Callithrix jacchus: one gene and its partners. The protein of the gene in region 3 interacts with the protein of the main gene of each other region in a pairwise test. Links are inferred from orthologs where the notes say so. Each region holds a gene or a part of one and is shown on either strand. Other genes may lie near its edges. The genes, in order: MIF, GFER and BNIPL.

The links.
Region 1: the proteins of BNIPL (region 3) and MIF interact in a two-hybrid assay, tested with the Homo sapiens proteins (2 studies listed by BioGRID and IntAct). The link is inferred for Callithrix jacchus from reciprocal best matches to the Homo sapiens genes BNIPL and MIF.
Region 2: the proteins of BNIPL (region 3) and GFER interact in a two-hybrid assay, tested with the Homo sapiens proteins (2 studies listed by BioGRID and IntAct). The link is inferred for Callithrix jacchus from reciprocal best matches to the Homo sapiens genes BNIPL and GFER.

What each region holds. Positions count from the first base shown.
Region 1 is NC_133502.1:192,625,465-192,634,458, forward strand, and holds MIF (macrophage migration inhibitory factor), read right to left. Parts: upstream 4,219-8,994; 5' UTR 4,126-4,218; coding exon 4,018-4,125; intron 3,830-4,017; coding exon 3,657-3,829; intron 3,541-3,656; coding exon 3,474-3,540; 3' UTR 3,352-3,473; downstream 1-3,351.
Region 2 is NC_133513.1:4,759,009-4,769,548, forward strand, and holds GFER (FAD-linked sulfhydryl oxidase ALR), read right to left. Parts: upstream 6,460-10,540; 5' UTR 6,442-6,459; coding exon 6,181-6,441; intron 5,925-6,180; coding exon 5,728-5,924; exon of another isoform or gene 4,850-5,727; coding exon 4,687-4,849; 3' UTR 4,037-4,686; downstream 1-4,036. Other genes in the region: SYNGR3 (synaptogyrin-3), read right to left, coding at 893-991; uncharacterized protein LOC144578555, read left to right, coding at 60-250, 1,981-2,030, 2,998-3,041; NOXO1 (NADPH oxidase organizer 1), read left to right, coding at 8,568-8,653, 9,411-9,572, 10,391-10,482.
Region 3 is NC_133519.1:10,937,491-10,947,274, reverse strand, and holds the start of BNIPL (bcl-2/adenovirus E1B 19 kDa-interacting protein 2-like protein), read right to left. Parts: upstream 9,396-9,784; 5' UTR 9,301-9,395; coding exon 9,257-9,300; intron 8,144-9,256; coding exon 8,048-8,143; intron 6,929-8,047; coding exon 6,864-6,928; intron 6,315-6,863; coding exon 6,090-6,314; intron 2,583-6,089; coding exon 2,400-2,582; intron 1,906-2,399; coding exon 1,803-1,905; intron 1,633-1,802; coding exon 1,501-1,632; intron 1-1,500. UniProt on the Homo sapiens protein: May be a bridge molecule between BCL2 and ARHGAP1/CDC42 in promoting cell death.

The DNA of each region.
Region 1 (8,994 bases), on a different chromosome or scaffold from region 3:
ACAGTCCTTTCCAGACTCTTTTCAGCACGTAGCTCTCACTCATGCTTTTCTGTAAGATGGGGTGCTCTTACAGATGGTTGGGATTTACAGGCTTAAAGTTATTCACCTATTTTTATAAGACATTATTGCCTTCTTTCTTTTTGAGAAAACAAATTTAGAGAGCCAGGGGTAATCTGTTCCACAGCCCCCTGTCTGGGCCAGTGTCTGGCACGGTCTAGAGGGATGGGACAGTTGGGCAGCACCCAGGGGTTTGGTCTAGGTCCCAGTGCTTGCTGCAAAGCCAATCACTGCAGGAAAGAGGCTTTTTTGGGTGCTGCAGCCAAGGAGAATGTGTGATGTCTTGAAACCATCTCCCTGACCGACTGCAATGGGAAGGTTATGTAGCAGTGGAAGGGAGATAGCTATGCTTGGGAAGGAATTCGGGGAGGGTAAGAAAGCAACCATGATGAAATTGTCACCAAGTCTGAAGGCAGTGATCTGGTGAATTTGAGAGAAGATTATCCTGTGGAGGGAGGCCACAGGACAGAGCCTTCTCTCTGGAGCCTTTCGGCATGCTTCAAATTTGAGCCATGTAAATCTGTTACCTATTAAACTGAGAAGAGAGCTAGGTACACAAGAAGCCAAGTCACTGAGGGACATGGAGGATGAGGCGTCTCATTTGTAACCTTTCAGTTTGGTGCCCTATCTGGCTGTTTTGGGGGCTAAACTGTGAGTCCAGACCCCATGGTCACCAGATGAGGGCTGAGGTTCCGGGCTGAAGGGACAGAGTCAGTTTCTGGAACTGACAATCTATGTCTCTTTTACATGGGCTTCAATCACAGAAATGAAATGGCTTGGCCTCACTCGCCAGGAGGGGAAATCTAGGCAGTTGGTTGGTGGGTTGACATTGTCCCCCACATTAGTCTTGGAAATCATGCAGGGAGGCCCGGGCCCAGAGGACTAAGACTTGGCTTTGCCACTGCTCAGCCTGGAAAGGGACTGAGACGGCAGAAGAGGGCTTTACGGAAACACAGTGTCAGTGGCCCAGAAATCCTGGAAATCTCCCAAGCTCCAGTGATCAGCTGATCTCTCCCAGGTAACTGGAAAACCACTCTGATATGAAGGTTGGCCCTGTGTTAATTTAATCTACTGCATTAGAGGCAATAGGGTTGTCCCATTGCCTGCCCTGCTAGCTCCTGTTAGTGGTTAGAGCCAGCCCTTCAGTGTGGGGCTCGGGGGGAGTGGTTCACTGGGAACGCATTTCAGTTGCATCCCACCAGGGGCCAAATACGGCTTGATGGCTGCACACACCAGCCTCACTGGCCTCCTAGCACTTCCCGGCTCCATCTGGAGACTTCTAAGTAGATACTTGACCACACTTCCTCATTGTCTCTTTCCCTACCGCCATATCCACTGCCATCAAGGCTGGCCATGGGATGGGGGTCAATGGGGGCAGGTGTGGGATGCAGCAGCTGCCCTCTCCAGCAGGCAGGCCGGTTGTAAGCCCCAGGGGACTTGGAAACGCTTTGGGCAGGGTGAGTGGATACGTAGGCCCCTGACCCACATAGATATCCCCTTTGTCCTTGAAGTCCAAGGAGCCACGACCTCGTGGATGCCCCTAGGGGGCCACAGAACCTCAGACACTCACCAGTTTTTGGAGGGCAGATCTCCCACCAACTCTCCTGCCCTCACACAGCAGGTGCCCAGCCTGCCCTGCCCAACTCTTTGGCCCTCAGAGACTCCAACTTGCTCATATGAGGCCACAGGGCCCTTGTAGGGGTCATGACATTGAGTGTACGACCATGCCCTGGACCCTGGGGTCAGTGTCCTCATCTGTGAAATGAAGGAGTTGGACCAGATGCTCATGGGGCCCCATGCCCCTGCTCTCCCTATGGGCAGCACAGCTGAAGACTGTTGAGGTGGGGTAGGGGTTGGGGGACCAGCTAAGGCTTGGTGGGGTGTGGGGCCCGAAGGGGAGGAAAAAGGTTGTTGTGGGGGGAACCTGTGGGTCTTGGGCAAAACTCAGCCTCAGGCCTTTGGAGGCTGGCGCTGGGGGGACCCAGGAGCTCAGGGGATGTGACAAAGACCAGGGCCGAAGAATGTGCCTCTTACACCACAGTTCTTCCATCCCAGAAGGAAACCTCAAGCCTGAAGCATGGGCTCCACCACCCACCAGGTGGGGGGTCTCTTCTTTACACCATTTGACTGCCCCGGGACCTGCAGGGTCAGCCTTGTAAATGTGTTTCTAAGTTACACTTAAAACCTCAAGGTGTGGGACAGACAGGTGTGGGGCCTATAATTCGGCCTTGCTCTCCATCACTCTGGTGGCACTGTGTCATCTGCTGATAAAGACTCCTGCCTTACGGGTGACCCTCACTGCCCTCAGGGCCACTGTTTCCAACGGATGGACAGCCTAGCCGACCTTGAACCTCATTTTGTAGGTTTCAGGAGTGCCTCAGGGTTCCTTGGTGTTCGGGAGGAATTGGTGCAGGGCTGGGACACCAGGGAGCCAGGCTGGAATGGTGTTGGGGGTGGGGGTCAGGGCTGGGTTCATAGCCCTTTTGTCCAGCCTGTCCCTCCTACCTCCCAACAGGGAAGCCCCAGTGTGTTTCCACATTCTGGGGTATGAAGAGATGAGGAGAAATTGGCACCCTGCCCTGGGCTGCAGACTCAGTACCTAAGGCACTTTGCTGCCTGAGGTAGATTCACGACTCTGGGCGGGAACCCACAGTTGAATCCCTTCTACCTAGGGGTCAGCACATGGGGTGCCAGAGGGGAGGCTGGAAAAGGGGGAGGAGGAGTTGGAGTTGGGAAGGAGTCTGAGGTCCTAGGCCTAGACCTTTCTTTCAGCCCCACCTTCCTCAGCCTTCTTGGTGGGCAAAAGGTAGCCAGAGGACAGAAAGATTCTCCCACCCAGAGCCACTCACTGCAAACAGCTGTTTTAGGGAATGTAAGGAGAGTCTGCAGGCAGGTGGGTGGGGAGGTGCAGTTATTTGTTATAAGGTTCTGTCCATCCCAAACCCTGAGCCTAGGTTCTGTTCCCCTCAGCCACCCAAGCCTCACCACAACAGTTCCCTGAGGAAATCAGGCGTGGGGTTTCCACTGGGACCATTCGTGTTTGCCAGACACATCTGTAAAGCCTTCCGTTACGTTTGGGCGCCGCTGCACACGCCTGTAATCCTGGCACTTTGGGAGGCGGAGGTGAGTGGAGTCTGACTACCCTGCTTCTCTCAAGACCTGAGTGGAGGCACAGGCCACCTGCTCTCTCCTCCCCTCCCACGGCATTCCTTGGATTAATCGTGCCTCTGAGGAAGTGAGATGTCCCTGTCATGCCTCCATGAGTGAATATGTAGCCACCGTAACAGCAGAAACTTTCTCTAACCGTTTATTTCTCCCCACCAGAAGGTGGAGGCGGGCGGGCCTAGAATACAGGGTGAGGTGGGTTCCCGGGTTGGGCCAGTGCAGACAGCGCGGGGAGAGGCGGGGCGCGGCTCTTAGGCGAAGGTCGAGTTGTTCCAGCCCACGTTTGAGGCGTTCATGTCGTAATAGTTGATGTAGACCCTGCAGGGGGAGGAGGCGAGACTCAGCGGGCGGCTCAGTCCCCGGCCCGGCACCACCGCCGCCACCCCCACCACCACTGGCCCCTCGCGCCGCGGCCCCTCCGCGCCCCAGCATACCTGTCCGGGCTGATGCGCAGGCGCTCGGCCAGCAGGCCACACAGCAACTTGCTGTAGGAGCGGTTCTGCGCGCCGCCAATCTTGCCTATGCTGTGCAGGCTGCAGAGCGCGCACGGATCGCTGGAACCGCCAAAGGCCATGAGCTGGTCCGGGACCACGTGCACTGCGATGTACTGCGGAGGAGGGGCGCGGTCAGCGAGCCTCAGCTACCTCGCCAGGCCTCTGGCGTCCACTTTGGGCCCTAGCCACCTCTTCCTCCCGCCCTGTCCCGCAGCCCCCTTCGGGATTCGCCTCCCCAGCCCCCAGTGCAGGACCCCCTCGTGCAGTGGGCACCCCCTCTTCCCGTACCCTCCCAACTAACCTGGGGCGGCTTGCCGGTGGCCTGCGCCAGCTGTTGGGTGAGCTCGGAGAGGAACCCGTCCGGCACAGAAGCCCGGGGCACGTTGGTGTTTACGATGAACATCGGCATGATGGCAGAGAGACCAGGAGATTCGCGCAGGGACACAGACGCAAGCACCGCTGCCGCGCTGAGCTACGTGCCTGAATTCTCGGATACGGTTCCGCCTTTTGGGACGTCACCGCCGGCGCCAGGCCTCCTCCCAGCGAAGCTGCGGCTCCGCCCCGAGTGGAGACGTCACCGCCTACCTCGGCTCCGCCCCGAGTGGAGACGTCACCGCCTGCCTCAGCTCCGCCCTGCGGGACCTAACCGTGAGCGACTCCGACGGCTCTTCCAGCGACTACCGCTAGGCCGGGCTCATCGTCCCTAGCGGATCTCCACGTGGCGGCTCGAAATCGGCTTCTCCCAGCCTGGCCTCTGGTCTTTCTTAGTACTTTTGTTGTATCCGACTGAGCACAAAAAGTCAACACCAAGACAAAAGTATGCCAAATTGCAGGGTTTATTGCCGGCGACCACGGAGGACTCACGTCTCTCCAACCCTTGGCAGAGAAAGAAGGGTGACAAGATCTTTTTATACCCGCAAAACCACCTTGGGAGTGGGGGTGAGGAGTGGAGATGGGAATGACAGCTGTCAATCACCTCCTAGGCTTAGACTAGGGTGAGGGGGCTCTGGACATTCCAAGGGCCAGGGGACTTTTGTCATTCCGATTGCCGCTTAAGAGGTTTACAGAAGTTAAGATAAACATTAGTTTATACATTATTTGGACAGGTGTGGGGTCCACAGATTTTTCAGTTGCTTGGCGCCAGGATGGAATTATCTGGGGGTGCTTACTCTGGTTAGTACCGGTAAACAGAGGCCAGCAATTCTGGCAGTTACAGATAAGAGAAAGTATGCAACTTTACCTCTCTTTACATTTTGCAAAGTAAACTTAGCAGTTTACAGAGGCCATGGCTAGCAGTCATTGTGAGGAGAATGGAAACAGTTTTGTCCTTTATAAACTGGCAGTGTACAAGTTCTAACTCTAGGCTAGCTATATCACACTTTCAATAAGTCACCGATGTTAGTCGCCAGGAGGCGCTGTGCCAGGGGTGGGGATGCGGCGGTGAACCCGGAAGATGGCCCCTTCCCCTTCCCCTTCCAGAGATGAAGCCCAGTTCATTCCACTGCACGCCCTGAGCCCTGTACGTCCTGAATCTTCCGGCCACACGTCCCCAAGGGCTCCAGTCCCGCACGCCTGAGCTTGTGTGTTTGAGATGGGGAGGGGTAGTCATTGCTGCAGGTGAGAGGAGAGCTGCCCCTGCGAGTCACCATTCAGGGAACTTAACCTGAACTCCTGCTCTTCAAAGAGGGTGAGGATGCTGGGAGTCACCAAAGGGAGGGAAGTGAGGTCCAGACCAGGTTCAGTGTGGGTAACGATAACAAATAACTGAATCCAACATTAAAATTACACAGTGAAAAAGTGACCAAATTTTGGTAATAATGTTGAATAATGATGCAGCTATAGATCAGAAAGAGACCTGTATGTACTGATAAGCAATGACCACCAAATTATATTTTATATGGGAAAGCCAGTCGGAACAACACACAAAGCGGAATTACATTATGTAAAAATATGGGCATGTCTTTCGGTAAGTGCATGTGGATGAGTGGGCTGGGAGCTGGTGGCGACACATTTCATTCTATAGACCTAAGCAGTATTTGAATTTTTATAACAATAGCATATGTGTTTTTTATGTGATTTACTAGAAACAAATTTCTTGAGTTGTAAGAGGTTTATTTTAAACCTATGTAAAGGTACATGAAGATCATCATCATTCAGAATAATAAAATAGAACAGCAATATAAAGAGATATTAAAGTACATTATTAAATACTATAATATTCAAGATTATATTAAAATCATATCTACATCTGTATGCATATAAGAATGTTAATAAATGATATTAATGTCTAAAATTGTAATTTTTGCAGACCTCTGTGAATATATTAGAAACCATTGAATTGTACACTGTATGTGGGTGACATTTATGATATTTGAATTATATTCTGTTAAACAATGTTAAGTTCTGTTAAACAATGAATGGCAGCAGGCGCGGTGGCTCACACCTGTAATCCCAGCATTTGGGAGGCCAAGGCAGGTGGATCACGAGGTCAGGAATTTGAGATCAGTATGGAAAAACCCTGTCTCTACTAAAAATACAAAATTAGCCAGGCGTGGTGGTGCTCACCTGTAATCCCAGCTACTCAGGAGGCTGAGGCAGGAGAATCACGTGAACCTGGGAGGCAGAGGTTGCAGTGAGCTGAGATTGCACCACTGCACTCCAGCCTGGGTGACAGAGCAAGACTCTGAAGGCTTGATATTCTAGTGCTAAGTAAGGGATGGTTCTATTTAAAATATGAAGTGTTTCCAGTAGATTCCCTTAAAAAGATTATAACAGGAATTTCCAGATCGCCCCCACTCCTACCTTTTTATGACTTATATGACTCAAGGCCCATCTAAATTTCAGATGGGGGAAATATTCACAAATCATTTATCTTGTAAGAGACTAAAATTTAGAATATATTTTAAAACTCCCCAAATCTACAACAAACTAAATAAAAATCAGACAACTCCTTAAAAATGGGCAAAAGACTTGAACATATATTTCCCTAAGGAAGATACACACACAGACAATCGCACAGGAAAAGCTGCTCAGCATGATTAGTCATTAGGGAAATGCAAATGAAAAGCACAAGTAGATGCCAATATACACCTGCTAGGATGATTTGAAAGGAAATGAATATGGGAGTTCCAGTTCCGCAGAGAGTGCGGGGAGATGTAGTGCACAGCGAGCTCACCCTGGGCCCTCCAGGTCCTCCGGCCCCTGGCTGGTGGGTGAGCTGGGGGGTCCCGGGACAGGCAGTATCCTCTGCCCTTCAGACACTGGAGGCCTCCACTGTGGGTGCCCACTGGCTTTGCCAGGCCCAGGCCTTGAAGCTGTGGCAAGCCTCTCTACCCCACCCGTCTTCGGTGACTGATGGTGGTGGCGGCTTCTCCCAGCCCATACCCCAGCCTGGACCCTGCTGGCCATTGGGTCTCCCAGCCCAAGTATGCTTGGCCTCTACGAAGTCCCAGCTGAGCTGCCAGGATGCAACGCCTTTGGGTGGCGGCAGGAGTGGCGAGCCAGGAAACACGGTGGCCGCTCGAATGCTGCACAGTGGAGGCTGTTAGGTAGTAGAGGGCCTGGGAAGGTGGCCTAAGGATGCAGGCAGGCTTGGCCGCCTCTTTAGGCCACAGAGCCATGCAGATCCGGGTCCCCAGTGACCACTCTGTCTTCACTGGGCGAGACCTACCTAGTCGTGACAACAGACAAAGGCCTTAACAGGCCTGGGAGGTAAGCGAAGTTCTGAACGTCGACAGGTGGAATGGTTAGCAGCCATGGGTGGGGGGGCGGTGAGTCTTCATTCTACCAGACCTTTCTGTCCGAAGAGAGAAACAGCAGAATGACAGGCCACGTTTGGCCCGTTGCAAATGCCCACCACCCTCTGGGAAGATTCACTGGCCATTTATGGAAGGCTTGTGTATATAAGATGAAAAAGTTGCTCTCAACTGCATGCCAACATTTTAATAGAAAACATTTGTCACATCTAGCCCTTCTAGATGTAAAGAGGTTGCCGACGTATGATAAAGTAGAGTTAGAAAACCACACATCTTGTAGATTCTCATTTGTTTAAAAGAAATCATAGAAAATACATGTCTTCTGGAGATGGCTTTTGGAAATTCAGAGTTGTTAGATGGCTCTGGAAGTGATACATCTACGTTTGCTGAGTTGATTAGATGACATGAGCTGAAAGAGCTGAGAAGGAGGAGAAGGTTCTATGCTAGACTGGTCATATTTAGAAGACATTTTCATATTCTAGCCATTGTTTTGTGTGCATTTTATTCCTCACTATTGTCTATATAGTTGACAGAAGGGTAAGGAACTATAAAAGGAGAGATGTATGCAGATGTGTCCATGTTTACATTTTTATGACAGCCATTAATGTATGCATCTCTTGTGGCTGTACTCTAGGAATATATTAAATCAATGGAAATATACCTTACTAATATTTTAATGGTATAGATCTCCTAATGAGCTCTCTTAGAAGCATTATACTTAGTGTATTCTGTTGCTGTATGCTTCATTTTAAGTTGAGCATTAAGGGAATGCAGTATTTAAATCAGAACTCTGCCAATGGTTTATCTAGAGGCATGTTGCCATATTTATATTCTATGAAATTTTCATCCCAAAAAAGACAGGGTTACATTTTTTTTAACAGACGGAGTTGGTGTAGTGTATTTTTGGTTATCAAAATGCTCCTATAGCTTTGGGATTTTGAATTGGTAAATATTCATGATGTGTAAAAAATCATGATACATACTGTGAGATTTATTTATTGCTGAGGCAAAATGAGGAAACTGAGGCAAGTATAAGAAAGTGAGAAGCTAATTTATTCAGCTCCCAGGCGAGGTTCTGTGGTCCAGGGTGGGGCCAAAGAAGTCGCGCCTGGCTGTTCAGGGTGTGGGGGTTTATGGGGAGGGCAGGCAATTGATTGGCTATTGGGGAAACAAAGAGAAGGCATTTCTATTGGCTGTTGAGGAGCAGGAAGTACATGGAGTTAAAGTAGGAAGTACATGAAACTAGCTGTCATTGGTAGGCGAGCGGGACCTTGGGTGGGCAGGCCTGCCCGGTGCGTACAGGACAGGCTGTTGTCGGGCAGGGTATGGTGGGGCTTCTTTAAAAATTTTCTGCAGCGTTTTTTTAACAGTGGGCTGGAGGTTGGATGCATAATTTAGTGCTGAGTGTGGACTTGGGTATGGTATGCAGAGGCAGGTGCGGGGAAGCCATGTAGCAAAACCAGATAATGAGCTCGGGTGATGACGCTTATCAGGCGTGGAGAGTGATGAATGTGTCCGTTTGA
Region 2 (10,540 bases), on a different chromosome or scaffold from region 3:
TGTTTCCAAGAAAAGAATTCCAGCCTCAACCTCATCCCTTCGATCTTTTCCCGCTCCAGCTCCGAGAGACCAAGGCGAGGAGGAAGCCAGGACATGCACTTGTCCCCCAGGAGTGGGCCACAAGTCGGGACATGAGCTCATACTGGAACGCAGCGCCCTGCCTCCCGGTCTGGTCAGAGCCACTCCGAAGGGGAGACCAAAGCCCCCTGCCTCACCGTGGGCACCGCCCTCATCCAGGATACGCGCCGAGGTCACCACCTGGACAAAACCCAGAGCTCCGCCACCTACTTGCTACCTCCCCTGCCAGAGGGCAGGAAGGGGCAACAGGGCCCTCCCAGAGACACCCCAGTGGGCTAGGCTGCCCCATACCTGCCTCCCACACCACCGCCGACATGAAGCCCTCCTAGCCCAAACCTCTCCTCCCTCAACTCACAGCTGGACCTGAGGGCCAAGGGACAGGCTCCCTGCCAAGGAGCCCGGAGGGTGTGCGTGCAGGGTAAAGGGGAGGCGCTGCCCCATCTCTCTCGGTTCCCGTAGCCCCCTCCTTCTGCCCCTCGGTGAATCCCGTCCCCACCCAGAGCCTGCTTCCAGGTCACGAGAACAGGAAAAACGGAGTAAGGGCTGCGGAAAGGGACTGGAATTAGACCCGGGGAGGAGGCAGGGGTAGGGGCCACCGGCGGTGACCTCTCAAGGTCCCTCTCCGTCGCCGCCGGCCCCTCCCCCGCCCGCAGGTGGGCGCGCCCTGCCCGGTGACGTCACCCCAACCTGAGGCCGGCTGGGAGGGGCCGGCAAGGATGAGAGAGAGGTTGGGGGCGAGAAGCAGGGGTCAGGGGGCGGCTAGGGGCATGAGGGTCGCGAGGCAGGGGCGGGGGCCCGCGCAGGGGCCACTCACCCAGGACGCGACCCGGAGCAGTGTCTGGGGCCGCCGCGCAAAGCTCACGGGGTCCAGGGCGGCCCCCGCACGGCCCGCACCGAAGGAGGCGCCCTCCATGGCCGGCCCGGGCGGGATGCGCGCCCCCGGCGCCCTCTGTCCGCCTGTCCGTCCGTCCAGCCCCGCCCGAGGCCACTGCCGCGGATGCTGATGCTACCGACGCTGCAGCCGTCGCCGCCTCCCGGGAGCGCGCGCCGGCAGTTGCGGGGGCGCGCGGGACGGGGCGGGGCCGAGCCCGTGCCCCTCACTGGGTCCACGCGCGCGGGGCCAGGGCCGTCCTCTCTCTCCGCCGCGCCCACCTCCCATCCCCCACCGGCACCTGCCTGCCGGGATCTTGAGATTGAGACCATCCTCAGGAACCCGCCAACCAGATCCCCGGAGTAAGGGGGCAAGGGCGCTGGGTGCAGACTTTGCCATAGCCGGGAGGACAGACAGGAAAAGGAACCCGCTCCTCTGCGAAGGGCCCTTGGGTGAGAAAATGAAGGAGTAGGAGGTCCACGGGCTCCAGCATCTTCTCCCAACCGTCGGGAGAGGGGACTGGCTCCCTGGCCCTGGTCCCAGGAAGACCAGATGGGCAACTGGGATCTTTCCCATGGCCCCCCACAGTGCTCTAGCTGGTCCTTCAGCAGGTTCTAGCCTTGGGCTGGGAGAGTCTGGTGGCAAGAAAGGCCTCCACCCCAGGAGCACCTGTTGAGGGATGAGGAGGACCACCGTGGCCATCGCCAATGAGAGTGTTGGTTTTTATGTGTCTGCTCCTTGCCCGTGGCCAGGTGCTGGCGCTCCCAATGCCCTCCCTACTTCTGGGTCTCCCTAGGGCACTTGCAGCACCTAGTCTGGAATCGAGGGCAGGGAGAGGCATCAGAGACCAGCAGTTGGATGGGGTCAGTGCCTGGCTGTCCTGTGCCCTGCTGGGTCCCCTCCAGACCCCAGCCCTGGGTGCAACAGGGTCCCTCCCCTCATGTTCCTGCTGGGCTGGAAGTTCAGATGACTCTTAGGTTTCTGTCTAGAGCATTGAGATGTCTGCACTGACTGAGCATTTACACCACCAGGTGCGTCACCTGTGGAGGCAGAGTCTGTTACCACCCTGTTCTTCAGACAGGTAAACAGCCCACCTGCCTGCTACGACAACCTGGTGTACATGGTGCCGCCTTGCCCAGCCCCCCTGGAGCCCATTGGTTCTGGTGTGGAGCTCTTTCTTCAGTCAGGCTGGGCACAGTCGGGCAGAGCAGCTGTTGCCAGAGGCGCCACTCACTGGATTTCAAATCCATCTACTGTGCGTCTGATCCCGACTGTCTCACCCACTGGCCCCAGGCCTCCCCTCTGTCATTCATTTTCCTTTTTACATCAGCACGCAGACATGCTACACTTTCTCCTAAAAAGCCACACTATTGACCCCACCTCCCTCCCCTCCAGCTGCCCGCAGTTATGAGCAGCAAGCTTGAGTCTTCTATTCTCTGCCTGCACCACCCCTCCTCTCTCCCTCTGAGACCCGGCAGAATCAGCTCCCACCACCACCTAAACTCAAGGCTGCCACTGACCTCTCCGTGCCAATCCCAAGGGCAAGTCTGATGCTGCTGTCAGCTCAGTTTTTCTTTTGAGACAGAGTTGCACTGTCACCCAGGCTGGAGTGCAGTGGCTCAATCTTGGCTCAAGACTGCACAACCTTTGCCTCAGAGGCTCAAGTGATGCTTCTGCCTCAGCCTCTGGAGTGGCTGGGATTACAGGCATGCCACCGTGCCTGGCTAATTTTAAAAAATATTTTTAATTTTGGTTTTGCCAGGCTGTGCTCTAACTCCTGACCTTAAGTGACCTGCCCACCTTGGCTTTCCAAAGTGCTGGGATTACAGATGTGAGCCATTGCACCCCACCTGGAGATCCTCCTCCCTCCTGGTGCTCCTCCTACCTCATGGGCCTCTCCTCTGTAACCTGTGAGCCTTAGGAGCCCAGGGCTTGACCCTGGTGGTGGTTGGGGGGGGGTCTCTCCTCCCTCTGTGCTGACTCTTCTGGTCTGTGTGTCAACAGCTCTGGAACACTAGCTTGAGCTAGAACCTTTCCTTGAATTTCAGTTCCACTGGCCTGGATGCCCTCAACAGCCTCTGAGTCAAAGTGAAGAGTTTTATTTGGGAGTGAAACTTCAAGAAAGACAGGGGAAAAGTAAGGCAGCTAGGAAGGACAGCAGATACAGGCAGTGCGTTCCTGAGCTGACCACAGCCTCACCAGAGGACCCGGCTTGTTCCTGAGGCACTCATAGGCCTCGAAAAAGGCCAGAGAGAAGCACTGAGTCTGGGTGAGGAAAGGGCACTTTCTCTCCTGGCAGAGCCCCATCTCCTTTCTCTCATTTGTGCCACTTGGCCCCCGGGGCAGTCTCTACAGAAGCCAGCAACCCCGCAGGACCAATCTGGTGGGTGATATGGCAGCTCCCTCCACACAGGCCTCAGGATAGAGGTCCCTAGAGCTTTAAGCCACAAGAGACACTGTTGCTGGGCTGCTCTGGCTGGGGAGGCCCAAAAGCTGGTCCCCGTCACCCCCTACTCACTGCACTCATAGCCTTTTCTGTCTCCAGCACACACAGCTGTGCCCAGCAGTCTCTGAGGACTCCATCCTCACCTGAGCATTCTCAGACTCTCCCCTCGGTGGACCCCACGTCAGCCCCAACATGAGGTAAGTCTGCTCTCTGGGGTCACTCAGTGATTGCTCCAGCTTCCTCGCCAGCCTCCCTGCTCCACCCTTGCCTGCCTCATCCCAGCTCAGCAGCCAGAGGACCCTTCAAAGCCACATCACTTCCTGCCATACCCTGGCTCCAAACCCGCCAAGAACCTACTGTCACAAGAGCTGGGGGTAAAAGCCATGGCCTTTCTGGGGCCTGGGAGGCCTCATGCTGTCTGGCCTCCCTGTACTCCTCGAACCCCCGTATCATTGATTCTGGCCCCCACTTCCCCAACCAACCAGCGTCCTTGCTGTTCCCGGCCCTCTCTCACCTTGGGGTTCCTCCCTTTCCTCCTGAGGAACCAGGACCCCAGCAGGAAATGCAGCTGAACACAGAAGGACAGAGCAGGCCCCGTGCACTGCTACAGGCCCTAGCACAAAGCACACAAAGCCAAGGTCCTCAGTCACTTCAATGTTTTATTTGGACCTCAAACTTTGAAGAAGGGGACAGCACAAATCCCCTGTGGACAGGCATGGCACAACGCTGGCAGGCATGAGCCAGGCAGGGAGTGGGCAGGATGGTGGACCCTCAGACAAACCCCACCTGAGCTTTCCTGTAGGGACTGAGCACAGTGGAGAGTTCAGCCCATGAAGTGAGCAGCACAGAGCCATGGGGGGCAGGGGCCTGCGGGCATCCCTGGCTGCACAGTGGGTAGGCAATGGCCTGGGCTCCAGGGACAGGCATGGGGTCGCCCAGCCAGGCCCAGTCTTCCTGTGTGAGAAGTGAGGCACCAGGGCATGGGGAGAGCAGGAAGCCACATCCTGAATGGCAAGGAGCAGCCCAGGCTCCTCCGGCCTCGCTCACCTGCAGTTCAGCTGCTGCTCCTTGGGGGCTCTACTGAAGAGGCGGCCAGCAGGTGCCTGCTGTGGGTGCCTCTCTGTTCCAAACCTGAGAGGGGCAGGGCCCCCCGGGCAGTGTCCTGGGACCACTCAACTGAGACATAACAGGCTCTGAGCCTGATGCACTTTAATGAGTGCCCTGCCCCTATGCAGCCAGGCTACTGCAAGGGCACTGGCTGGCTGTCCCATGGGCTCTGGCTGACCAGCCTCTAGTCACAGGAGCCATCCTTCCAGCCGTCACGCCAGCGCTCATCCACTTTTGAGCAGTCAAAGTCAGGCTTGCCCAGCTTGCGGTTCACCTCATTGTGCAGGTGGCACAGCCACTGCGTGAAGCATGCCCGGGTGCGGGTGTCTGGCTGGTTCCTGCACAGCCTGCGTAGGGAGAGCATGTGAAGAATGGGAGGACGCAGCGGCTCCACTACCCCTGCCAGCTCTGTCTGCTCCCAAGGACGGAGAGCTGGGCCACTGCTCTGGGCTTCACCTCGGAGTGCCCTCATGCTCCAAGGGATGGGAATTCCCACAACAGGCCTGACCCTTCAGCTCCTTGGGTGTGGCAAATTCCCAGGGCTGCTGAAACACCGACAGGGCCTCAAAGAAAAATATTACAGCACAGACCTAGCAATTTTACAAGCTCCTAACACCCAGGAGGCGGCATCTAGTGTCCCTGGCCCCAGGCAGAGTGTGAACTGGGTGGGGCTGGACACAGCCTTGTAACTGAAAACTGGACTTGATTCTTAGGACCTGAGGCTCTGATGCCTCAGTCAGCAAGAGACCTCATTCTGACTGCCCAGGCTGAAAGCTACAATGGCAGCTCTGCCCCACACATCTGGCCTAGAAACACCTGCAAGGGCCAGTTCTGGCTCTTGGATGCCTCAGTGAGGAAGAGGTGGCTCTTGGGAGCAAAAGTAGTGGGTTTCCAAGATTTTAAAACAGCAGTCTAGAAGTCAGGCAAAGTGGAGTCCTCCCTAACCTGCGGGGAGCTGCCTTTGGTGCCAAACAAGGCAGGGAGGCCCTTCCTGGGAGACCTGTGGCCGTGGGAGAGCAGTTCCCAGCAGCAAATCCTGGCAGCTTGGCCTCAGACAAGAGGAGGAGGCTCAGATAGCCTCTGTCCTCACCTGTTGGTGGTCCCTGCTCCCCAGCAAGCTTCTGCCACCTCTGCAGGTTTCTCTAGGTTCCCCGGTATAGCGTCAGTCAGGAGCCCCAGGCCCAGGCTCCAGGGTAAAGCTCTGATGCCTGCCAACGCATCTTACCTTTTCCTTAGGTCTTCAGCACACTCCTCACAGGGATAAAACTTGGAAAATAAATGTATGAACTGGGCCATGTCTTGCTGCTGTTCTGGGGTGGGCAGGTCGGGGTAGTAGGCGGCCAGGGTGTGGAGGACAGCCCAGCTGTGGCGGCCCAGTTCCTCGCGATCCGGCGGGCAGTCCTCCCTAAATTTGCTGTCCTGCTGCGGAAGGCCGACCGAGAGTGAGTTCATTCTCCGAACAGAAGCGCCCAAAGCTCCCCCCTTGCACGGCCCAGCCGGTGGCCCAGTGGACTCCGGCCAGCGTCCTGCAGACGATCCAGCCCAAACGCAGATGATGCCTGTAGGGCCGGACCTAACTGGGGGACAAGGTTCAGGGAAAGGCAACCCTGGGGAGCTCTGCCGGGGCACCTGGGCGGGGGCTGCGCGGGGTTGGGGGAGGTCGGGCAGGGATCTGCACCTTCTGCTGCGTCCGCATCCACGTCTTGAAGTCCACGCAGGCCCGGCAAGGCCGCCTCCGGGAGACGTCCTCGGTGACCTGAGACTCGGAGGTCGGCGCCTGGGCTGGCGTCGGGGCTGACCTCTCAGCCGCGTCTCTCCGCCCCGCTCCCCGGCCCCGTGCGTCGGTAGCCAGGTCGTCTATCACTTCGGAGCGCGCGCCACCGGGCAAGAAGAAGTAGTTCCCGCTATAGAAGCGGCCCCGCTCGCCGGGCGCCGCCATGTTGCCCGCGCAAGGTCTGCCGGGCTAGCTCGGCCTCCAGATGAGCCTCCAGGTCGGCCTCCAGGCCAGCGTGCGAAAATACCAGCGGGAGGCGCGCGCCGTGCTCGAGGGGGCCGGGCCCGAGCGAGGGCTGGGGGCGGAGTCGGAGGCGGGGGCCGGGCCCGAGCGAGGGCTGGGGGCGGGGTCGGAGGCGGGGGCCGGGCCCGAGCGAGGGCTGGGGGCGGGGTCGGAGGCGGGGGCCGGGCCCGAGCGAGGGCTGGGGGCGGGGTCGGAGGCGGGGGCCGGGCCTGAGCGAGGGCTGGGGGCGGGGTCGGAGGCGGGGGCCGGGCCCGAGCGAGGGCTGGGGGCGGAGTCGGAGGCGGGGGCCGGGCCTGAGCGAGGGCTGGGGCGGAGTCGGAGGCGGGGGCCGGGCCCGAGCGAGGGCTGGGGGCGGGGGCCGGGCCCGAGCGAGGGCTGGGGGCGGAGTCGGAGGCGGGGGCCGGGCCTGAGCGAGGGCTGGGGGCGGGGTCGGAGGCGGGGGCCGGGCCTGAGCGAGGGCTGGGGGCGGAGTCGGAGGCGGGGGCCGGGCCCGAACGAGGGCTGGGGGCGGGGTCGGAGGCGGGGGCCGGGCCTGAGCGAGGGCTGGGGGCGGGGGCCGGCCAGCGGACCCGGGTGGAGGCGGAGCCACAGACCGCGGCGCCGACCTGGGAGGGGACGGAGCTGGAGCATCCGGGCGCTCCGCGACCCGCGGCGGGTTTGCGCAGTCCGTGGCGGCGCTCTCGCCTCCTCGGGTAGAACAGCAGAGTGTGGCGGAAGGTGCGCCGCGGCCATGCTGTGGACCTGGGCTGAGGCCCAGACGAAGTACGTGTCGCGACCCGCGACGCCCCCATCGCTCCGTTCTGAGCGTCCTGCGTGTCCGCGGCCACGCTGTGCCCTCCGCTGAGGGGCGCGTCCACCCGCCGGGTGCTGGGAACCCTGGCAATGCGGGGCCGGCGTGACCGCACAGAGTGCTGGGCTCGCGGCCTCGCCCCGGCGCCATGGCAACGGGCGCCTGGCAACGCGGGACGGGGCGCGGCTGCCGAGGGTTTGAGAGCCTCTGGCTCTCGGCGCGCCCCCAGCTGCCGCCGGTCCCACGGCCCGAATGAGGGGTCGGGCTCCCAGTTGGAGCCACCTCTGGGATTCCTCTGCCTCCTTGCTTTCATTCGTCCTTTACGCTATTATTTGTGCAGTGGCCTCTCTGCTCCAGGCGCTGTTCCAGGCGCTGGGCAGTGCAGGGAACAGAGCTCTGCTGCCTGATCTCCTCTGTTCATAATTCAGTGGTCAAGATGGGGGGGCGGGGGGGGAAAACGAGTCACGCTCGTGAATGTTCCCGTACAAACTGGTGGGGCCGTGCAAGGGTGGGGTAAATCTGGAAGGCCTCCTTGAGGTGGTGACCCTTGGGCAGAGGCCTGAAGGATGAGGAATCAGCTGAGGAGCGCCTTTAAGACCAAGCTCATTAGCTGGGCCTGGTGGCGCACGCCTGTCGTCCCAGCTACTCGGGAGGCTGAGGCAGGAGAATTGCTTGAACCCAGAAGGCGGAGTTTGCGGTGAGCCGAGGTCACGCCATTGCACTTCAGCCTGGGTAACGAGCGAAACTCCGTCTCAAAAAAAAAAAAAAAAAGACCAAGCTCAAGGTGGCAGGGTCTTGGCGTTTTGCAGGAACAAAAAAGGCCAGTGGGCCCATCAAGGACCTGGTCAGCAGCTGCGGGGATTGGGAATTTATTCCAAGGGAGGGGAAGATGCCAGTCAGTTTTGGGCAAGGCCACCCAATCCGATCCCATTTCAGTTTGCTGAAAATTCCTCTGGCTATTATACAAGGAGTGCATTTCTTTAGATTTCTTTCTTTCTTACAGAGAGTGGATTTTTCTCTTTTCTTTTCCTTCCTTCCCTTCTTTCTTTCCTTCCCCCTTCCTTCCTTCTTTCTCTTTTCTTTCTTCTGGTAGGGTCCTGCTCTGTTCCCCAGGCTGGAGTGCAATGGCACAATCATGGTTCACTACAGTCTCGACTGCTTAGGCTCGTGATCTTCCCACCTCAACTCCCCAAATAGCTGGGACTACTGGCACGTGCCACCACACCCAGCTAATTTTTGTATATATTTTTTGGTACAGATGGAGGTCTCACCATGTTGCCCAGACTGGTCTCCTGAGCTCAAGCAGTTCCCCCGCCTTGGATTCCTAAAGTGCTTGGATTACAGGTGAGAGGCACCAAACCCGACCTTGGGGTGGATTTTGTGGGAACAAGTGAGGAGGATATGGATGGAGGGTGGGGTGGTTGTACCATTCCGGTAAGAAAAGAGGGTAGGAGAGGAAAAAGCGGGAAGGGGCCGGGCGCGGTGGCTCAAGCCTGTAATCCCAGCACTTTGGGAGGCCGAGGCGGGTGGATCACAAGGTCAAGAGATCGAGACCATCCTGGTCAACATGGTGAAACCCCGTCTCCACTAAAAATACAAAAAATTAGCTGGGCATGGTGGCGCGTGCCTGTAATCCCAGCTACTCAGGAGGCTGAGGCAGGAGAATTGCCTGAACCCAGGAGGCGGAGGTTGCAGTGAGCCGAGATCGCGCCATTGCACTCCAGCCTGGGTAACAAGAGCGAAACTCCGTCTCAAAAAAAAAAAAAAAAAAAGCGGGAAGGATCCAGGGCCGATGCGGTGTGGGGCAGGCTGTGTCAGCTGGGGTGTGGAGGGGCCTCAGAATTCCTCTAGGCCACTGCTTGTGAATAAATTCTCCCTAGCTTCTCTACTGTCTTCCAGGAGAGCAAAGTCTGCCCTGGGTTGATTCACCGCCAGGTCCTTGGGGCCCTCAGCTGAGATAGGGAGGAGATGAGAGCTGGCTGGGGGAGCCCTGCAAATCAGCCCTATGTGAGCAGGTGTTCTTAGTCCGTGCCAAGACCAGGGACAACTGGAGGGCCTCAGAGAGTGCTGGTGACACACACACAAAGGCCCTTTGTTGCAGCCAAGGCAGATTGCTGCAGGGATGCCCCAGAGGCCGACCGCTCCCTGAAGGGGCTGGAGTGGGGGCATCCCAACACAGAACTGGTGACTCCAGCACCAGGAAGAACCACTGTGTACCGAGGTTGAATGTGGCTTCTGAAGCTATAAGGAAGCAGCCAGAGAGGTGTGGCACCTGGGCAAGCCTCTGACTAGGCGGTGTTTGCAGGAGGTCTGTTTGAGAGGTGGCTCTCAAAACAGTCCTGGTGACCACTTCCCTGACCACCCCTCACCCCTCAAGTGCCAGGGACTATACACATGGGCCGTCTTTCTCTTACCCCAAGTCTCCTCACTGCAGGGGAACCCCTGGGGTGAGCCTGTGAGGTCTGCCCCTCCCCCAACATATACAGAAAAACTCACAATAATTATACATTTAGCTCACATTTCCTCCTCTGTGAGCTGGGGACATGAAGAGGCCTTTCCTCCAGCATTAGGATTAAGCCAGACAGAGCACTTAAAGCCTTGAGCACTGAGTCCTCGGTTCTGCACAGAAATCCCCGGGCCAGTTCTAAGACAGTTGTTGGGCACACGCTGGCAGAAGGTCATACCAGGCCAAGTACCTTGCAAGGTGGGGGAATCCAGAGAGGTGGGCAGGACTGGTGGCATTTTGATGGGCCCCGCCTTCTCCTCCCTCCTCCCTTGGCCAGAGTCAGGCAGGAGGGCCCCAGGCAGCAGTTCCTCCCACCCTCTGCCCCTTAGTCTTGCACGCCTCTAGGGCCAGGACGCTCATTCTTCCTCCTAGCAGCTCTGCCTGGAAGTTCCCCAATCCCTGTGCTACCGTTCCCAGATCTTGGGCTTGGGAGACAGCAAGAAAGCTGGAAAGAACTCAGCTGGGGCAGCCCCACAAGGACCCTACAGGCTTCTGTCCCAGGCAGCCAGGTTCCTAGGTGCCCCAGAGCCCTCTGGAGCACAGGGAGGCAGAGGAATCCTTACCCAGTATTTCAGGACTCTGCAGCCTGAAGCCCGCAGCCATGGCAGGCCCCCGATACCCGGATTCAGTGCGAGGGGCGGCTCTGGTGCAGATCAAGAGGCTCCAAGTAAGACTTGGCTGCGTCTTTAGTGGCCCTAAGGCATAGGAAGGGGGTGCCTCCGTCA
Region 3 (9,784 bases):
TCTCAGCTCCACCCATCTTAGTTAGCCCTCCATGATCCTCATTTTAAAAAAACTCTCCTTTCAGAATCCCTCAGCCTGGTCTTTTTCTGCTCCATTTCCCTCTTGTGCCCGACCCTCACATAAGTTCATTTTGCTTCTCCATCGCTCTATGACCAAGACTACTTATAAAATGCTAGGTGGAAGAAGACCATCAAGGAGGAAAAGAAGAAGGGAGACAAGAAGAGAAAAGTGAGCAAAGGGAGATGGGGGAAAACCAAAGGGGGGTGGAAAAAAAAAAACCTGAAAAGAAAAAGAAGACATAGGGCCAGGCTCAGTGGCTCAGGCTTATAATCCCAGCACTTTGGGAGGCCAAGGCAGGCAATCGCCTGAGCTCAGGAGTTTAAGACTGGCCTGAGAAACATGGCAAAACCCTGTCTCTAACAGAAAAGGATAGAAAAATTAGCTAGGCGTGGTGGTGGTGCACACCTGTGGTCCAAGCTACTTGGGAGGCCAAGGTGGGAGGATGACTTGAGCCAGGGAGGCAGAGGTTGCAGTGAGCCAAGATCACGCCACTGCACTGCAGCCTGGGCAACAGAGGAGACACGTAGGTCAGTGACGAAGTCCGAGAAGAAGACAATGGAGGTGTGGAACAGGAAATAAATGGCAAGACTGAGAGAGAAGAGGAAGAGTGCTTTCTGTGTGCCAGGCAATATGCCACACTAATTTACTCGATTTTCACAAATACCCAGTGGCAAACGTATAATCATTGCCATTTTACAGATGAAGAAGCTGAAGCGGCCAGGGGCAGTGGCTCATGCCTGTAATCCCAGCACTTCGGGAGGTGGGCAGATTGCTTGAGATCAGGAGTTTGAGACAAGCCTGGGAAAAGTGGCAAAACTCCATCTCTACAAAAAATACAAAAGTTAGCCGGGCATGGTAGCCGATGCCTGTAGTCCCAGCTACTTGGGAGGCTTGAGGTGGGAGGATCACTTGAGCCTGGGAGGCAGAGGTGGCAATGAGCCGAGATTGTGCTGCTGTACTCCAGTCTGGATGACAGAGCCAGACCCTGTCTCAAAACACACACACACACACACACATGCACGCGCGCACACACACGCGCGTGCACACACACACGCATGCACACACACACAAAACAAAAAAGAAGCTGAAGCCCAGAGAGGTTAAGTGACTTGTCCAAAGCCAGACCCTGTCTCAAAACACACATACACACGCGCGCACACACACACGCACACACACGCATGCACACACAAAACAAAAAAGCTGAAGCCCAGAGATGTTAAGTGACTTGTCCAAAGCCAGACAGCTAGTAAATGGTAATGTGGATAATGGCAGGATTTGAAACTAAATCTCTGACTCCAAGAGAGGACAGAAAACAAAAAAGCTGGGAAAAGAACGTAGGATAAAGAAAACAGGAAGGGACTAAATGGAAGAAGAAAGAATGGAAAGGTGGGAAAAACAATGAGAGAGCGAGAGTTGTAGCCTTCTCGTCCCAGGTCTCACCGCCGATCCAGGGTGCGGTAACACTGGCGTATCCAGCTCAGAGGTGGAACTTGGGCCCTGCTTGTGCCTCCACTCAAATGAACAAGCAGGTAATTTTCAGCTACTAGCAGCTCCAGCGTTCCCACCATATACCTGGGCGGATGAAATTGCAGGGAAAATATGTGCTGAGAGTTGCAGGAGCGACAGGGAACGTTACTATAGACTCTCCAACTAGCTACTGATCTTTGAAGGAGTTCTTTTTCACTTCGGTGCCCCCCGCCCCGCTAACACGGCCCTGTAGCTCTTCAGGCCTCCCTCCTCACCTAAACAGGTGTTCCATGATGTAGGTGTAGTTGGGGACACTGCTTCTGGGTAGATAACAGGAAGCAAAAAGGATGACAGCATTGAGGCCATCACCGTGGTAACCTGGAGAGTGTAAGGCGAAAATTCATTTAGTCAACAAATATGTATTGACAGATAGTACATCTGTTTAAGTTGAGGGACTCTGAGGGTCTCTGGAAGCTACAGGATAGATTTTGGATCAATGACTGAGTCTCCAGCTTAGGCATTTTATTTAAGAAGCCATAGCTCGGCCGGGCCTGGTGGCTCACGCCTATAATCCCAGCACTTTGGGAGGCCAAGATGGGTGGATCATGAGGTCAAGACATCAAGACCATCCTGCTCAATATGGTGAAACCCCATCTCTACTAAAAATACAAAAAATTAGCTGGGCATGGTGGCGCATGCCTGTAGTCCCAGCTACTCAGGAGGCTGAGGCAGGAGAATTGCTTGAACCCAGGAGATGGAGGTTGCGGTGAGCCGAGATCCCGCTATTGCACTCCAGCCTGAGAAACAAGAGTGAAACTCTGTCTCAAAAAAAAAGCCATAGCTCTTACCCCTCTGTTTATGCTAGCCATTACCTCCATGAGACAGGACTTTCTTATAGGGTTCAATGACAGTCATGTCCACACGCTGCTCCCGTGGTCCCATTCGGAAAACCCTCCAGTGATGTCCATCTTCTCCAGCCACATCCCACATACAGCCTTGGCCCAGCCTTTCAGCTGCCTCACTGGCGCCCAGACCGTCTGCCCGGGGTAACTCATCTAAAAGAGAGGGTTGGGGAAGGATCAGCAAGGTAGATTTCCTGCCTTCAGTTTCTTGTAACTTCCTCAGATTCCTAGTTTGTTACTCTAATCTGTCACTCCTTGATTATTTCCTTGATTCATTTTTTTTTGTTTTTGAGATGGAGTCTCACTCTGTCACCCAGGTTGGAGTGCAGTGGCACAATCATGGCTCACTGCAACTTCTGCCTCCCAGGCTCAAGTGATCCTCCCACCTCAGCCTCCTGAGTAGCTGGAACCATAGGCACACGCTACCACGCTCCGCTAATGTTTTGGTAGAGACAGAGTTGTACCATGTTGCCCAGGCTGGTGTCAAATTCCTGAGCTCAAGCCATCTGTCCACCTCAGCCTCCCAAAGTGCTGGGATTACAGGCGTGAGCCACCATACTCGGCCTTTTCCTTGACTCTTTAGCCCTGTTTTGCCCAATCAGCCCAATATCTTGCTGGTTTCTTTCTCCTGTGACTCACTATCCTCACCTTTTCACTAGATGATGGACTTTGTTTCTTTTTGTTGCTGTTTTTTTCTGAGACAGAGTTTCACTGTTGTTACCCAGGCTGGTGTGCAATGGTGCGATCTCGGCTCACTGCAACCTCCGCCTCCTGGGTTCAGGCAATTCTCCTGCCTCAGCCTCCCGAGTAGCTGGGACTACAGGCGCGTGCCACCACGCCCAGCTAATTTTTGTATTTTTAGTAGAGACGGAGTTTGTTGACCAGGATGGTTTCGATCTCTTGACCTCGTGATCTACCTGCCTTGGCCTCCCAAAGTTCTGGGATTACAGGCGTGAGCCACTGCGCCCGGCCGATGATGGACTTTGGATGACCCTGCACTATGACCCTTAGCAGTATCAGGTATTTTTTGAGTCTTTTTTTATTTTTTTAAAGTTATGCCTTTTATTTCTAATAGTCTGGTTATTGTATGTATGTATGTATGTATGTATGTATGTATGTATGTATGTAGACAGTCTCCCTTTGTTGCCCAGGCTGGAGTGCAATGGTGAGATCTTGGCTCACTGCAACCTCCATCTCCCGGGTTCAAGCATTTCTCCTGCCTCAGCCTCCCGAGTAGCTGAGATTACAGGCAGCTGCCACCACGTCCAGCTAATTTGTGCATTTTTAGTAGAAATGGAGGTTCACCATGTTGGCCAGGCTGGTCTCAAACTCCTGGCCTCAGGTGATCTACCCGCCTTGGCCTTCCAAAGTGCTGGGATTACAGGCATGAGCCGCTGCACCTGGCCTTTTGAGATTCTTTCTTTAAATGATTTTCCCTAGATCAGTTCATCTAGTCCCATGTCTTTAATTCCACCAGTAAGGAAATGACTCCCAAATTTGCCTCTCTAACCCAGGCTTCTTTTTTTTTTCCTTTGAGGCAGTCTCACTCTTTTGCCCAGGCTGGAATACAGTGGTGCAATCTCAGCTCACTGCAACCTCCCCTTCCTGGGCTTAAGTGATTCTTCAGTCTCAGGTTTTTGTGAAGCTGGGACACAGGCACACACCACCATGCCCAGCTAATTTTTTTTTTTTTTTTTTAAACAGGGTTTCGCCATGCCACTCTGTTCTTGAATTCCTAAGCTCAAAGCAATCCACCTGCCTTGGCTTCCCAAAGTGCTGGGATTACAGGCAGGAGCCACTGTGCCCAGCCTCTAACCCCAGCTGCTGCCCTAACTCGAGCATCCCTAAATGCCCAGAGTGTATGTCTTCACTGTGTGTCTCCTTGTCATTAACAAGTCACCAGATCTAAAAGGGAACTCAAGGCTGTGCTCAGTGGCTCATGCCTGTAATCCCAGCACTTTGGGAAGCCAAGACAGAAGGATTGCTTGAAGCCAGGAGTTTGAGAACAGCCTGGGCGACAAAAATAATAAAATTGGCCGGGCGCGGTGGCTCAAGCCTGTAATCCCAGCACTTTGGGAGGCTGAGGCGGGTGGATCATAAGGTCAAGAGATCGAGACCATCATGGTCAACATGGTGAAACCCCATCTCTACTAAAACTATAAAAAATTAGCTGGGCATGGTGGTGAGTGCCTGTAATCCCAGCTACTCAGGAGGCTGAGGCAGGAGAATTGCCTGAACCCAGGAGGCGGAGGTTGTGGTGAGCCGAGATCGCGCCATTGCACTCCAGCCTGGGTAACAAGAGCGAAACTCCATCTCAAAAAAAAAAAGATAAAACCTAAACTCCTCAGCATGGCAGCAAGGGCTTCCATGGTTTGACCTTCGCCTACTTAACCCTAGCAAAAGATAGCAGCACTATCTTTTGTCATTCTCTCTTCACCTCCCAGCCCTTCATATTAAAATCGTCATGCTTCATACTTTGAATTCCCCAACATGCCATAGTATTGCTTTGTTTCTTCTGCTTCTTCTACTTAGAATGCCCTGTCTTCAACTACCTGATAACCACCAGCCTCAGCTTTCTTTTTTTTTTTTTTTTGGAGATGGAGTCTCGCTCTATCACCCAGGTTGGAGTGCAGTGATGTGATCTCGGCTCACTGCAACCTCCGCCTCCTGGGTTCAAGCAATTCTCCTGTCACAGCCTCCTGAGTAGCTGGGATTATAGGCGTGTGCCACAATGCCTGGCTAATTTTTGTATTTTCAGTAGAGATGGGGTTTCACCATGTTGGTCAGGCTGGTCTCAAACTCCTGACCTAGTGATCCACCCGCCTTGGCCTCCCAAAGTGCTGGGGTTACAGGAGTGAGCCACCATGCCTGGCCAGCTTCAGCTTTCAACACTCAGCTCAGAATCACCTCCTTCACAAAGCCTTTCCTAACATCTCTCAGGCAGAAGTGACCTTTTCCTTCTCCCTGCCTACACTGTACCCTATACATATATAGATCATAACCTTTAACTGCAATTATTTGTATATATGTTTATTTCCTACTAAGCAGATAATTCCCTGTAGGGCCTCTCTTATTCATCTTTATAACCCCAGTCCTATACATGATAGTATATAGCAGGCATTCAATTAAATTTTCCTTAATAAACCAAGGGCTCCCCTCTCCTTCTATGACTACTCTCACTTTGGACCTATAAGCCCTACTCTTTCATTTGAGGAAACTAATTTTGCTGACGGTAGCTCTTGGTCCCCACCTTTTTTTTTTTTTTTTGAGACAGAGTTTCACTCCGTCACCAGGTGCCAGGCTGGAGTGTAGTGGCACGATCTCAGCTCACTGCAACCTCCGCTTCCTGGGTTCAAGCAATTCTCCTGCCTCAGCCTCCCAAGTAGCTGGGATTACAGGCACGTGCCACCATGCCCAGCTAATTTTTGTATTTTTAGTAGAGACGGGGTTTCACCATGTTGGCCAGGATGGTCTTGATCTGTTGACCTCCTGATCCGCCTGCCTCTGCCTCCCAAAGTGCTGGGATTACAGGCGTGAGCCACCGCGCCCGGTGCTCTCCCCACTTGATTAGTTCTAACTGCAGTCCCATTAAGTCCATCCTGATCCTTTAGTGCTAGCCTCTACTTCTACCAGCTCTGGGTCCTCTGGTTTGCTTCCCACCTTCCCATTCAAATTCATGTCCACTGTCCAGCTGCTCCGAGTCTGAAGGTGTCTCTAATTCGTCTACTTCCAGGTCAGAACTCCCATCAGGAGAGGAAGGTGCAGATTGGGTGGGCGAAACTCCATCATTTCCAGGCCCCTTAGTCAGACTCAGTCGCAACTCTGGGGCAGAAAGACGCTTCCGCATGGGGCGCTGGCCACACAGGGCTAAAGTGAGGGGGGTACCTGCGGTTGGAGAAAGGAGGAAAAAGAGGACCCAGATGGACGTGTGTGTTGGGGGCCAAGAGGGCTAGAATTCTTTGTATGTGACAGTGATAATAGGGGGTGAACTCTGAAGATGGACACAGGGGACATTTGGGAAAGGGAGAAACGGAACTGTAAGGGGACAGAGGTGGCACAGGCCTTCACTGGACTAGAATCAAGTACTTGAGGCCGGGTGCGGTGGCTCATGCCTGTAATCCCAGCACTTTAGGAGTCCGAGGCGGGTGGATCATGAGGTCAAGAGATTGAGACCACTCTGACCAACATGATGAAACCCCGTCTCTACTAAAAAAATACAAAAAAAATTAGCCAGGCATGGTGGTCCGTGCCTGTAGTCCCAGCTACTCCGGAGGCTGAGGCAGGAGAATTACTTGAAACCGGAAAACGGAAGTTGCAGTGAGCTGGGATTGTGCCATTGCACTCCAGCCTGGCGATAGAGCGAGACTGTCTCAAAAATAAAAAAAGAAAGAAAAAAGAAAAAAGAACTTGAGGCCTGGTTTCTATTTGACCTACCTGCCTGTGAGTCTCCTTTAGGCTCTTCAGGATCTTCAGAAGGTCCAACCTCCTCAGGAAGCAATCTAGAGGGAAAGAGATTAAAAGGGGGCAGAGATATACACCAAAGGCATCAAGCTGGGACTCAGTATATAGTTTCTCTCTCCTGGCCATGATTTTACCACATCTGCTTTCTTTTTTTATTGTTTTTGAGATAGGGTCTCACTCTTTGCCCAGGCTAGAATGCAGTGGCACAATCATGGCTCACTGCAGCCTCTACCTCCAGGGCTCTAGTGATCCTCCCACCTCAGCCTCCCAAGTAGCTGGGACTACAGGCGTGCACTACCATGCCTGGCTAAATTTTGTATTTTGGTAGAGATGGGTTTTTGCCATGTTGCCCAGAGTAGTCTTGAACTTCTGAGCTCAAGTGATCCACCTGCCTTGGCCTCCCAAAATGCTGGGATTATAGGCATGAGCCACTATGCCTGGCCTGTTTTCCTTTTTAGAATTTTTTTACTTCAAGTCCTAATTCACCATCCTTGCATCCATTTGTTTGTTTTTTTGTGCGTTTGGTTTTGTTGTTGTTTTTTTTTTTTGAGACGGAGTTTCGCTCTAGTTACCCAGGCTGGAGTGCAATGGCGCAATCTCGGCTCACTGCAACCTCCGCCTCCTGGGTTCAGGCAATTCTCCTGCCTCGGCCTCCTGAGTAGCTGGGATTACAGGCATGCGCCACCATGCCCAGCTAATTTTTTGTATTTTTAGTAGAGGCGGGGTTTCACCATGTTGACCAGGATGGTCTCGATCTCTTGACTTCGTGATCCACCTGCCTCAGCCTCCCAAAGTGCTGGGATTACAGGCGTGAGCCACCACGCCTGGGCTGGTTTTGTTGTTTTTGAGACAGAGTTTCACTCTTGTTGCACAGGTTGGAGTACAATGGTGCAATCTCAGCTCACTGCAACCTCTGCCTCCCGAGTTCAAGCAATCCTCCTGCCTCAGCCTCCAAAGAAGCTGGGACAACAGGCATGCGCCACCACGCCTGGCTAATTTTGTATTTTTAGTAGAGATGGGATTTCATCATGTTGGTCAGCCTTGTCTCAAACTCCTGACCTCAGGTGATCCACCCGCCTCGGCCTCCCAAACTGCTGGGATTACAGGCGTGAGCTGCCCATCCCTTCCTTCTCCCAGCCGCCCTCACACGATCTCACCTAGGGAATTCTTCATCCTGCCATTCCTCCTTCAGCTCCAATTCCCCACGTCTCAGGGCTGCTCCTAGTTCTGCTGCTTCTCCACTCTCCCTGACCCTAAGACAGACCCCCAAGAAGAAAAGAGTAAGGGAACTGAAAGTAGGTAAGAAGAATTGGAATGATGAAGAACAGTAATTGAGACAGAGAGCAGAGAGTAGGCCTTCAAAGGCACTCAGATCTCTTGCCTCCTACAAAGGTATTTCTTTCACTGTCACCACTTACTAGATTGCCTACTGATGGGTTTGGGAGCAGAGGGCGGATGGAATATAAAGTTAGTCATATTTACCTCTACAGAACTTGCTCCACCTATGAAGTGGGGGTGAGAGATGTCCCACATTACAATTGGCTGGAACCCAGCTACACCCACCCAACTATCACTGAGCAAAGTTGGGCAAGACGGCAGCTAGTCAGGCCTGCCTTTCCTCCACCGTGCTGGGGTGTGGCTAAGGGAAAACACAGCCTAGGTGGAGGTGTGGGGAAAAAAGGTAAGAAGAAAGATGTGCCGGGAACGAGACCCTGGACCTAAAGTCAGTTCTGGTTCAGCTTTCCTGATGGTCATTCTGGAGGGTGAGGGTTAGAGAATAAAGAACACAGGCAGATTTATCAGATACAACATGTTACAGAAACTTCCTTTATTTTATTTTTGTTTTTTATTTTTTTTGAGACGGAGTTTCGCTGTTGTTACGCAGGCTGGAGCGCAATGGCGCGATCTCCGCTCACTGCAACCTCTGCCTTCTGGGTTCAGGCAATTCTCCTGCCTCAGCCTCCTGAGCAGCTGGGACTACAGGCGTGCGCCACCATGCCCAGCTAATTTTTTTATTTTTAGTAGAGATGGGGTTTCACCATGTTGACCAGGATGGTCTCGATCTGTTGACCTCGTGATCCACCCGCCTCGGCCTCCCAAAGTGCTGGGATTACAGGCTTGAGCCACCACTCCCGGCCACTTCCTTTATTTTTAAACCAGGGATTTATCCTGGATTCCCCTGTTCCCTATTTCCACACCATCCTGACATTTCCTACCTAAAACCACCCTCATCCCTTCTCTGCAAATTCTCTAAGAGTCTTGTCTCCTTGAGGAACCTGAGATTTGACCCAGTAAGAGCTGGGTGGTGAGAGTCTCTGAGGACTGTTTATTCTGTTTCTAATCAAGTGAGCCAAGATCTTACTTACCCAACATCTAAGGTCTTTTTTCCTGCCTCTTGTATGGTTCCCATCTTCACAGGTCTTCCTGTCTTCTTCTTTAAACACCTGAAAGTTGTTGGGGAGCTGGGTATCCCAGCCCCCAAGACTTCTTTACCTTTTTTGTGTCAGCTGAGGTAGTTCCGGCCTCCAAGGAGGGAGGTGTGGAAGGGAGGTAACCTCATCTTCAAACAGGTTTTGCCACCTCCTCTCCCAAGGAGCAGGTTTGCCCAAAAGAAAAACGCTCCCTCCTGTGAGGGGGCGGGCTTTGGGGAGGAGAGTGCATTTTCTTTTTGTTTTTTTTTTTTTTTTGAGACAGAGTTTCGCTCTTGTTACCCAGGCTGGAGTGCAATGGCACGATCTCGGCTCACCGCAACCTCCGCCTCCTAGGTTCGGGCAATTCTCCTGCCTCAGCCTCCTGAGTAGCTGGGATTACAGGCGCGTGCCACCATGCCCAGCTAATTTTTTGTATTTTTAGTAGAGACGGGGTTTCACCATGTTGAGCAGGATGGTCTCGAT